Linked DNA regions of Saccharomyces cerevisiae S288C. The protein of the gene in region 2 purifies or fractionates together with the protein of the main gene of each other region. This does not show direct contact. Each region holds a gene or a part of one and is shown on either strand. Other genes may lie near its edges.

The links. The genes of interacting proteins can lie anywhere in the genome.
Region 1: the proteins of MCM2 (region 2) and RFA1 purify together in Saccharomyces cerevisiae (affinity purification with western blotting; 4 studies listed by BioGRID). This does not show direct contact.

Annotation. Positions count from the first base shown.
Region 1 is NC_001133.9:156,254-160,795, reverse strand, and holds RFA1 (replication factor A subunit protein RFA1), read left to right. Parts: upstream 1-2,176; coding exon 2,177-4,042; downstream 4,043-4,542. Other genes in the region: YAR009C (truncated gag-pol fusion protein), read left to right, coding at 1-199; tRNA splicing endonuclease subunit SEN34, read right to left, coding at 1,003-1,830; COMPASS subunit protein SWD1, read right to left, coding at 4,511-4,542. UniProt on the Saccharomyces cerevisiae protein: As part of the replication protein A (RPA/RP-A), a single-stranded DNA-binding heterotrimeric complex, may play an essential role in DNA replication, recombination and repair.
Region 2 is NC_001134.8:173,035-179,417, reverse strand, and holds MCM2 (MCM DNA helicase complex subunit MCM2), read left to right. Parts: upstream 1-1,891; coding exon 1,892-4,498; downstream 4,499-6,383. Other genes in the region: ATP-dependent Lon protease PIM1, read left to right, coding at 1-1,544; NCL1 (tRNA (cytosine-C5-)-methyltransferase), read right to left, coding at 4,830-6,383. UniProt on the Saccharomyces cerevisiae protein: Acts as a component of the MCM2-7 complex (MCM complex) which is the putative replicative helicase essential for 'once per cell cycle' DNA replication initiation and elongation in eukaryotic cells.

The DNA.
Region 1 (4,542 bases), on a different chromosome or scaffold from region 2:
CAGTATAATTAAGTCTACAAATGAAGAGAAATTTAGAAACAGATTTTTTGGCACAAAGGCAATGAGACTTAGAGATGAAGTATCAGGTAATAATTTATACGTATACTACATCGAGACCAAGAAGAACATTGCTGATGTGATGACAAAACCTCTTCCGATAAAAACATTTAAACTATTAACTAACAAATGGATTCATTAGATCTATTACATTATGGGTGGTATGTTGGAATAGAAATCAACTATCATCTACTAACTAGTATTTACATTACTAGTATATTATCATATACGGTGTTAGAAGATGACGCAAATGATGAGAAATAGTCATCTAAATTAGTGGAAGCTGAAACGCAAGGATTGATAATGTAATAGGATCAATGAATATAAACATATAAAACGGAATGAGGAATAATCGTAATATTAGTATGTAGAAATATAGATTCCATTTTGAGGATTCCTATATCCTCGAGGAGAACTTCTAGTATATTCTGTATACCTAATATTATAGCCTTTATCAACAATGGAATCCCAACAATTATCTCAACATTCACCCATTTCTCAGAACCAACTATCTTCGATCAATTTGTATTAAAACTGCTAGCATATTATCATATATGATGTAAAAAGACGACATAAAGGTCGAGTAACAATCATCCGATATAACGGAAGCTGAAATCCGAGGATCGATAATATAGCATAATTACTTGTATGAACGATGCTAAAATATTTGTTCCTTCACATCTACACGTGGAAGTAAATGAACTGGATGTCAACAGTTTAGAAGAGCTTTTTTTTCGGTTCTGGTAAACATTCAATAAACTGTTTTGCTCCCACTAAATATAAATAAACATAATTATATGTCTAGTGATAAACAACTACTTTCCCGCTGAATGCATCAAAATATCAATGCAAATTTAAAAATTGTATTACACATATGTATGCTTCTGAAAAACCTTATAAATACATAAATTCTGAGAAAATAATTATACATGACTGATTCCCAGCTTAACCAAATCCAGCCCATTCTATTGAGAAGAAATGAGTTTCCTTTGTCTCTTCCGCAACACCGCCTATGACCCAAAGTTTTTTCACAGTCGTTCCTAGTCTTGCACCACTTATCATGGATATTAGGTCAATCGGCTCATTATGATAATCAATCGCATCTTGTATCGTCAGATGTGAATGGAAACGAAGAGGATCACCAGGGTATGCTATAAACTTCCCACCAAAACGTCCACCTGGGGACAAAACGTACCCTTGATCTCTCAATGCCTTGTATAAGAAATAGGTCTGCATTTTTCCTGCCTGTCTGTACTGCTTAAATAACAAATCACTGATATCATCGCGGGATAAGCTGTCTGAATCACTCCGTATGTCTCTTAAAATCATAGAGGTATTAGCAATGTCAATGAACAAAGAAGATTCAATTAGCTGGTCATTATTGCTAGATTTATCAAGCCGTTGCAATTCTTCAGCTGTGGTTTTATCATTGATTCTACCGATTTTCTTTAATTTTGCAATGTGTTCATCCTTTTTGAACTTTCTCTGATATTCAAATGACTTGTTCAAACGATCGTTGACAATTTTAGATAGTTTGGCGCCCCGCTCTAATGTTATTCCCTCCATAATCTCATCTCCCTCTTGTCTTATTAATTTCACATCGGCAAGATTGTTCAAATGCAGCCACAGCACATCTTCTAACATAAGCCTCAAAGGTACCGACAAAAATACATTTTGCTGTGCTGCAGTAGGCAAAGTTCCAGATAACACACCACAAATACCCCATTTCCTTAGAAGTTTGATGTGATCTATGTCAAATACTAGCGGTGGCATAAAAACCTCCTCGCCTTTTGCCGTTCTTTTTGCATATATGTTAATAGCTATGCGCGTACCACCTTCTTCAGCCATATACGAAAGGATCTATGCTAATTGGGTGGATTTCTTATCGCATCACTTTCTTATTCTCTAACTCTTCTTCGCTGCTCAATAAAATATCTCTGCTTGGAAAAATGTCACGCGTAAAAATTAGACGAGGCGACAAAAGACGCGTGAACTAACATAAAGGTTTACTTGAACAAATGTTATCACTTTAAGTTCTACACGTAAAACAAAAACTATTCACTCTTCTTATTACGGTAAAGGCGAAACCAGCAAGAAGACCAGATTATACTTACAAGAGATGAGCAGTGTTCAACTTTCGAGGGGCGATTTTCATAGCATCTTCACCAATAAGCAAAGGTACGATAATCCCACCGGTGGCGTTTATCAAGTTTATAACACCAGGAAATCTGATGGGGCTAACAGCAACAGAAAGAATTTGATCATGATTTCCGATGGTATTTACCATATGAAGGCTCTGTTGAGAAACCAAGCTGCATCCAAGTTCCAGTCAATGGAACTACAAAGGGGTGATATCATTCGCGTGATAATTGCAGAACCTGCTATTGTCAGGGAAAGAAAGAAATACGTTCTTTTAGTAGATGACTTTGAGTTGGTCCAGTCGCGTGCTGATATGGTCAACCAAACTAGTACTTTTTTGGATAACTATTTCTCAGAGCATCCAAATGAAACCTTAAAAGACGAAGATATAACTGACAGTGGTAATGTTGCCAATCAAACAAACGCCAGCAATGCTGGTGTCCCTGATATGCTGCATTCAAACTCAAACTTGAATGCAAATGAGAGAAAATTCGCCAATGAAAACCCTAATTCGCAAAAAACCAGACCAATTTTTGCCATCGAACAACTGTCTCCATACCAAAACGTTTGGACTATCAAAGCAAGAGTTTCCTACAAGGGAGAAATTAAAACGTGGCACAATCAAAGAGGTGATGGTAAACTATTCAATGTCAACTTCTTGGATACCTCTGGAGAAATCCGAGCCACGGCGTTTAATGATTTTGCTACAAAATTTAACGAAATTTTACAAGAAGGCAAAGTATACTATGTATCAAAGGCAAAACTCCAACCAGCTAAGCCCCAATTTACTAATCTAACACACCCTTATGAACTGAATTTGGATAGAGACACTGTTATAGAAGAATGTTTCGATGAAAGTAATGTTCCGAAAACCCATTTCAATTTCATCAAACTAGATGCTATTCAGAACCAGGAAGTAAATTCCAACGTAGACGTCCTCGGTATTATCCAAACTATAAACCCACATTTTGAGCTAACTTCAAGGGCTGGGAAGAAATTCGATCGTCGTGACATCACAATTGTTGACGACTCTGGGTTTTCTATCTCTGTTGGCCTATGGAATCAGCAAGCCCTTGATTTCAACCTTCCTGAAGGTTCTGTTGCTGCCATTAAAGGTGTTCGTGTGACGGATTTTGGTGGCAAATCTTTGTCTATGGGATTTTCTAGTACCCTGATTCCGAATCCAGAAATTCCTGAGGCATATGCCTTAAAGGGTTGGTATGATTCCAAGGGCCGCAACGCAAACTTCATCACTTTAAAGCAAGAACCCGGTATGGGTGGTCAATCGGCTGCTAGCTTAACAAAATTCATTGCTCAGCGTATTACTATTGCTAGAGCTCAAGCTGAAAATCTAGGAAGAAGCGAGAAAGGTGACTTTTTTAGTGTTAAAGCTGCTATAAGTTTCTTAAAAGTTGATAATTTTGCATATCCTGCCTGTTCTAATGAGAATTGTAATAAGAAAGTTCTGGAACAGCCTGATGGTACTTGGAGATGTGAGAAGTGCGACACCAATAATGCAAGGCCAAATTGGAGATACATCTTGACAATATCAATTATTGACGAAACCAATCAACTATGGCTCACTTTATTTGACGACCAAGCTAAACAATTATTGGGTGTTGATGCTAATACATTAATGTCTTTGAAGGAAGAAGACCCCAACGAATTCACAAAAATTACTCAAAGTATCCAAATGAACGAATATGACTTTAGGATTAGAGCGCGTGAGGATACATACAATGATCAAAGCAGAATTAGATATACCGTTGCTAACCTACACAGCTTGAATTACAGGGCTGAAGCCGACTATCTTGCCGATGAGTTATCCAAGGCTTTGTTAGCTTAATGTATCAAATAATCAAGTACTATTTAATCTATGTAACATATGAGAAATGTAAAAAAAAAACTTCTATTTCGTCAAGTTTTTGAAGGGCGGTTCAGCATCTCTTGATGACTGGATATGAAACTACACGTTCAGTCATATGAATTTGAACCCATAATGCACAAATGAATAAAAATGCTAACAAATTCTAATTAATGGCATGGTACTAACACCCAACAATTTACCGCCCTTTAGGTGTACAGCTTCAAATAACAAAGCTTTACAAATTCACCTTCAACATTTACGTTCAGTAGTATGAAATTACCATCATGACGTGCTCCTATCAAAGTGAGATTATTGCACTTCGTATTATTAGGAAATTACCAAAAAATGCAAAATTTTTCAATTCTGTGTCAAAGAAATCGCGGTAGGCATGACTATACCTCTTCAGTGTCAGTTGCCTATTTAAACTTTCTCCTTTTGAAGAGAAACCTATGATGACTGCATCTTAATTATCCTCGTAT
Region 2 (6,383 bases):
TGGGTAAAGTCGATGGTAAAATCATATGTTTCGTAGGACCCCCAGGTGTTGGTAAAACGTCCATAGGTAAATCTATCGCTAGAGCTCTTAACAGGAAATTCTTCCGATTTTCTGTAGGCGGTATGACGGACGTGGCAGAAATAAAAGGTCATAGGAGAACGTATATTGGTGCCTTACCTGGCAGAGTAGTTCAAGCATTAAAGAAGTGCCAAACTCAAAATCCTTTGATTTTGATAGATGAAATCGATAAGATTGGACACGGCGGCATACACGGCGATCCGTCCGCGGCATTGTTAGAAGTATTGGACCCTGAACAAAACAACAGCTTCTTGGATAACTACTTGGATATTCCTATTGACTTATCAAAAGTGCTTTTCGTTTGCACTGCTAACTCTTTGGAAACTATTCCAAGACCTTTACTGGATCGTATGGAAGTCATTGAGTTGACAGGATATGTTGCTGAAGACAAGGTTAAGATTGCCGAGCAGTATTTAGTTCCAAGTGCCAAGAAAAGCGCTGGTCTAGAAAACTCTCATGTTGATATGACAGAAGATGCAATAACAGCGTTAATGAAGTACTACTGTAGAGAAAGTGGTGTAAGGAATTTGAAAAAACACATCGAGAAAATATACCGTAAAGCAGCCCTACAAGTGGTAAAGAAGTTGAGTATTGAAGATTCCCCAACGTCATCAGCCGACAGCAAGCCTAAAGAAAGCGTTTCTTCCGAAGAAAAGGCGGAAAATAACGCCAAAAGCTCATCGGAGAAGACTAAGGACAATAATTCGGAAAAGACAAGCGATGACATTGAAGCCTTAAAGACCTCTGAAAAGATCAATGTTTCCATATCCCAGAAAAACCTAAAAGATTACGTTGGGCCTCCAGTCTACACTACAGACCGGTTATACGAAACAACTCCACCAGGGGTAGTTATGGGGTTGGCGTGGACTAATATGGGAGGTTGCTCACTTTATGTAGAATCTGTCCTTGAACAACCTTTACACAACTGCAAGCATCCAACATTTGAAAGGACCGGGCAACTGGGAGATGTTATGAAGGAATCATCAAGGCTTGCTTATTCATTCGCCAAGATGTATTTAGCACAAAAATTCCCTGAGAACAGATTTTTTGAAAAGGCGTCTATCCACTTGCATTGTCCTGAAGGTGCTACCCCTAAAGATGGTCCATCTGCAGGTGTCACTATGGCCACTTCCTTCCTTTCCCTAGCATTGAATAAGTCGATTGACCCAACGGTTGCGATGACCGGTGAATTGACACTTACCGGTAAAGTTTTACGTATCGGTGGGTTGAGAGAAAAAGCTGTGGCCGCTAAAAGATCTGGTGCCAAGACTATTATTTTCCCTAAAGATAACTTAAATGATTGGGAGGAACTTCCAGACAATGTAAAGGAAGGGTTGGAACCTTTAGCTGCTGATTGGTATAATGATATATTCCAAAAATTATTCAAGGATGTGAATACGAAAGAAGGTAATTCAGTATGGAAGGCTGAATTTGAGATTTTGGATGCTAAAAAGGAAAAGGACTAACTTTTCATCTAAATGGATTAAATACCTGTTTAAACATTCTGTAAATATTTAAACATAAACATCAATTTTATTACACAATACTAAATTCTTTCTTTTCTTCGTGAAGTATGTATGTGGGAAACCCAAGATGGCGGAATCGCGTGTAATATTATTTATCATATGCCTTTTTTAGGAAATCTAATTACTTACCGAAGAAAATAGGACAACGAAAAATTTCGAGAAACGAAACCAGAAAGTAAATGGTGAATATCCTATAATCTACACATTTTGGTACAGTTTACTTAATAATACTCCACACACCTCTTTGCCTCTTTTCTAAGAAGTATAACACAACTACAATATAAGTGATGTCTGATAATAGAAGACGTAGACGTGAGGAAGATGATTCGGACTCAGAAAATGAGCTACCGCCATCCTCACCTCAGCAACATTTTAGAGGGGGGATGAACCCAGTTTCATCACCTATTGGTTCTCCAGATATGATTAACCCTGAAGGTGACGATAATGAAGTTGACGATGTACCAGATATTGATGAAGTTGAAGAACAAATGAACGAAGTAGATTTGATGGACGATAATATGTATGAGGATTATGCGGCTGATCATAATAGAGATAGATATGATCCAGATCAAGTTGACGACAGGGAACAACAAGAACTATCTTTAAGCGAACGTCGCCGCATTGATGCTCAACTAAATGAAAGAGATAGGCTATTGAGAAATGTTGCCTACATAGATGACGAGGACGAAGAACAAGAAGGTGCAGCGCAACTTGATGAAATGGGCCTTCCTGTGCAAAGACGAAGAAGGAGAAGGCAGTATGAGGACTTAGAGAATAGTGATGACGATCTATTGAGTGACATGGACATTGACCCATTAAGAGAAGAACTTACTTTAGAATCTCTGAGTAACGTTAAGGCTAACAGTTACTCGGAATGGATAACACAACCTAATGTCTCAAGAACTATTGCCAGAGAGTTAAAATCATTCCTGCTGGAATATACAGATGAAACGGGTCGTTCTGTATATGGTGCACGTATTAGAACATTAGGTGAAATGAATTCTGAATCTTTGGAGGTTAATTATAGACACTTAGCGGAGTCCAAAGCCATCCTGGCACTATTTTTAGCTAAATGTCCAGAAGAAATGTTGAAAATATTCGATCTCGTGGCTATGGAGGCAACAGAATTGCATTACCCAGATTATGCCCGTATTCACTCCGAAATTCACGTAAGAATCTCTGATTTTCCAACAATATACAGTTTACGTGAATTGCGTGAGTCTAATTTGTCCTCTCTAGTACGCGTCACTGGGGTGGTGACAAGAAGAACAGGAGTCTTCCCTCAATTAAAATATGTCAAATTCAATTGTTTGAAATGTGGCTCCATTTTGGGCCCATTTTTTCAAGATTCTAATGAAGAAATTAGAATCTCATTCTGTACAAACTGCAAATCAAAAGGTCCCTTTAGAGTCAATGGAGAAAAAACTGTGTACCGAAATTATCAAAGGGTTACGCTCCAGGAAGCTCCCGGAACCGTTCCTCCAGGCCGTCTACCAAGACATAGAGAAGTCATTTTGTTGGCGGATTTGGTAGATGTATCCAAGCCAGGTGAAGAGGTAGAAGTTACCGGCATCTACAAAAATAACTACGATGGTAACTTGAATGCAAAGAACGGATTCCCCGTTTTTGCAACAATTATCGAGGCAAATTCTATAAAAAGAAGAGAGGGCAATACAGCTAACGAAGGCGAAGAAGGGTTGGATGTTTTCAGTTGGACTGAAGAAGAAGAACGTGAATTTAGAAAGATTTCTAGGGATCGTGGTATAATTGATAAAATTATATCATCGATGGCACCGTCTATCTATGGTCATAGAGATATTAAAACTGCAGTCGCGTGCTCATTATTTGGAGGTGTTCCAAAAAACGTCAATGGAAAACATTCTATTCGTGGTGATATCAATGTGTTATTATTAGGTGATCCAGGTACTGCCAAATCTCAAATCTTAAAATACGTCGAGAAAACAGCGCATAGAGCGGTCTTTGCAACTGGTCAGGGTGCTTCGGCTGTCGGTCTGACAGCATCCGTCAGAAAAGATCCTATTACTAAAGAATGGACCTTAGAAGGGGGGGCGCTAGTATTGGCTGATAAGGGTGTTTGTTTAATTGATGAATTCGATAAGATGAACGATCAGGATCGTACATCTATTCATGAGGCTATGGAACAGCAAAGTATTTCCATTTCCAAGGCCGGTATTGTTACTACATTACAAGCGCGCTGCTCAATTATTGCTGCGGCAAATCCTAATGGTGGTAGATATAATTCAACCTTGCCTTTAGCTCAGAATGTTAGTTTGACCGAGCCTATTCTGTCTAGATTTGATATTTTATGTGTTGTCAGAGACCTTGTTGATGAAGAGGCAGACGAAAGATTGGCCACATTTGTTGTCGATTCTCATGTAAGATCTCATCCAGAAAACGATGAAGATCGAGAAGGCGAAGAGCTTAAAAATAATGGCGAATCGGCGATAGAACAAGGAGAAGATGAAATAAATGAGCAGCTTAATGCAAGGCAAAGAAGACTTCAAAGACAAAGGAAGAAGGAGGAAGAGATCTCGCCTATTCCACAGGAATTATTGATGAAATATATTCACTATGCGAGGACAAAAATATACCCTAAATTGCATCAGATGGATATGGATAAGGTTAGCAGGGTATATGCGGATTTGAGAAGAGAAAGTATTTCTACAGGTTCGTTTCCAATCACAGTTCGTCATTTAGAATCTATTCTAAGAATTGCAGAATCTTTTGCTAAAATGAGATTATCTGAATTTGTGTCTTCTTATGATTTGGATAGAGCTATCAAAGTTGTAGTTGATTCCTTTGTTGATGCCCAAAAAGTCAGTGTTCGCCGCCAACTCCGCAGGTCTTTCGCAATTTATACCTTGGGTCACTAAAACTTTGTTATTCCTACGAATATCTGGATATGAAGATAAAAAATTCTCTGTCTCAATCCATGTATTGGCAATCCTATTTTCAATATACAAGTTTCCTTTATTTTTTGTATAATTTTTATACACTGTATCTTTAATTTCAATTCAACTAAATACTCAAGATCTAGTCAAAAGTGCATTATTTACTATCCAAAAAAAAAAAAAAAAATGAAGTAAAAAAGAAGTAACAAGACCGAATAAAAAAGGCTCATTACTGAAGTATTATATTCTTATTTTTGCCTTTTAATAATATACATTTACTTTACAGTGGAGGGGATAAGAAACATGATAACTATCAATTAGCAGCGCTAGGAGCTTCAGTAGAGGTTCCGGTAGTAGTTTCTGCGGGAGATTCAGTCGTTTCTTTTTCTTTTTCTTTTTCTTCAGCGCTTGGAGTAGCCTTGGCATTCGCATCAATACCAAAGATCCTATATAATAGCTCATGAGTATCTTCTTTACAAACCATCAAATTGATACACTTGTTGCCTTTCCACACAGGCAAGAATAAGTTTTCTTTGGCAGGGTCATTTCTTGACACATCAATAAAGGCGCAACCAGAGCTTAATTTTGTCATCTTTTCAACAAAATCATTATCGATGTTCTTCGAACGAATGTCGTCAAAGTTAGGGAAAGATTCGATTAACAAGTGTTTTAACATCTCTAAATTAGCTTCAACAATTCTATTAGATTTCATATGGTGTTTCATTATTGGCAATGATTCACTTTGGATTCTCCATGAACATTCGATATCACTTCTTTGAGAGACAAACAATTTTACACCAGAATAAATAATCTTCAACCTATCGTCATTCGCTTGAATAACATCCTTCAATGCTGGACACACAGTGTAAACCACTCTTGTTGGTTCACCAGTGGCGTTACGCACTAAACAAGTGTTTCTGTCGAAAATATTATCGATGCCGTAGAAATCCCAACAAACTTTTAAAGCTTCGTGCTGTGGATCAACGAAAACAAAAGGCTCTTCGTTCGCGTCACGTGGTAGTCTTTCTTTCTTTTGGACTTCTTCTACCTTTATTTTCTTTGTTTGAGGTCCTTCAGACTCTAGAGCTGGGGTTTCAGAAGATAGTTTCTCTGTAGCCGCCTCAGTGCTATCTTCGACTTTTTCGAAAACAGTAATGAAAAATCCGCCTGTGTTTTGTTGGTGAGGATAAACCCTCATACAATTTTGTAAATTGAATTTCGATGCCTCTTCTTCAGATGGTGAAAAGAAACTATCTAGTGTACCTTCGTCTCCTTTGGTTTTCTCAGTCAAATTTCTGTCATAGACAGGCCATTTGGATACACCCTTGGATCTTATTAGGCCAGGAAGCTTATCATCACAGTTAACTAATCTAATCTTGTCACCCCACTTTCTTAACGCTTCGGCAACAACCGCTTCATTTTCAATAGGATTTAAAGAACAGGTTGAGTAAACCAATCTACCGTTGTTCTTTAGAAGATGCAAACCCCTGTTTAATATATTCAGCTGAACAGCATGCAAACCAAGACCTGCTTGTGTGTTCCAGTCTTTCCAAACATTAACATTTTTCCTCATGGTACCATCACCAGAACATGGAACGTCACACAGGATTCTGTCAAATTTTAAAACATCATTCTTGTTATTTGAGTTGCCATGTAATCTGATACGTGGGAAGAATTGGGCGTCATGGTTGACAACCATCAAGTTGGCACTGTTCAATCTCTTCAATTGGTGAACCAACATATGAGATCTTCTGGCATCGGCATCATTAGCTACAACGAAACCAGATGGTTCATCTGTATCCTTGTGCAAGGCTTCGATTAATTGAGCAGTTTTGGAGCCAGGAGCAGCACACATATCTAAAACAGT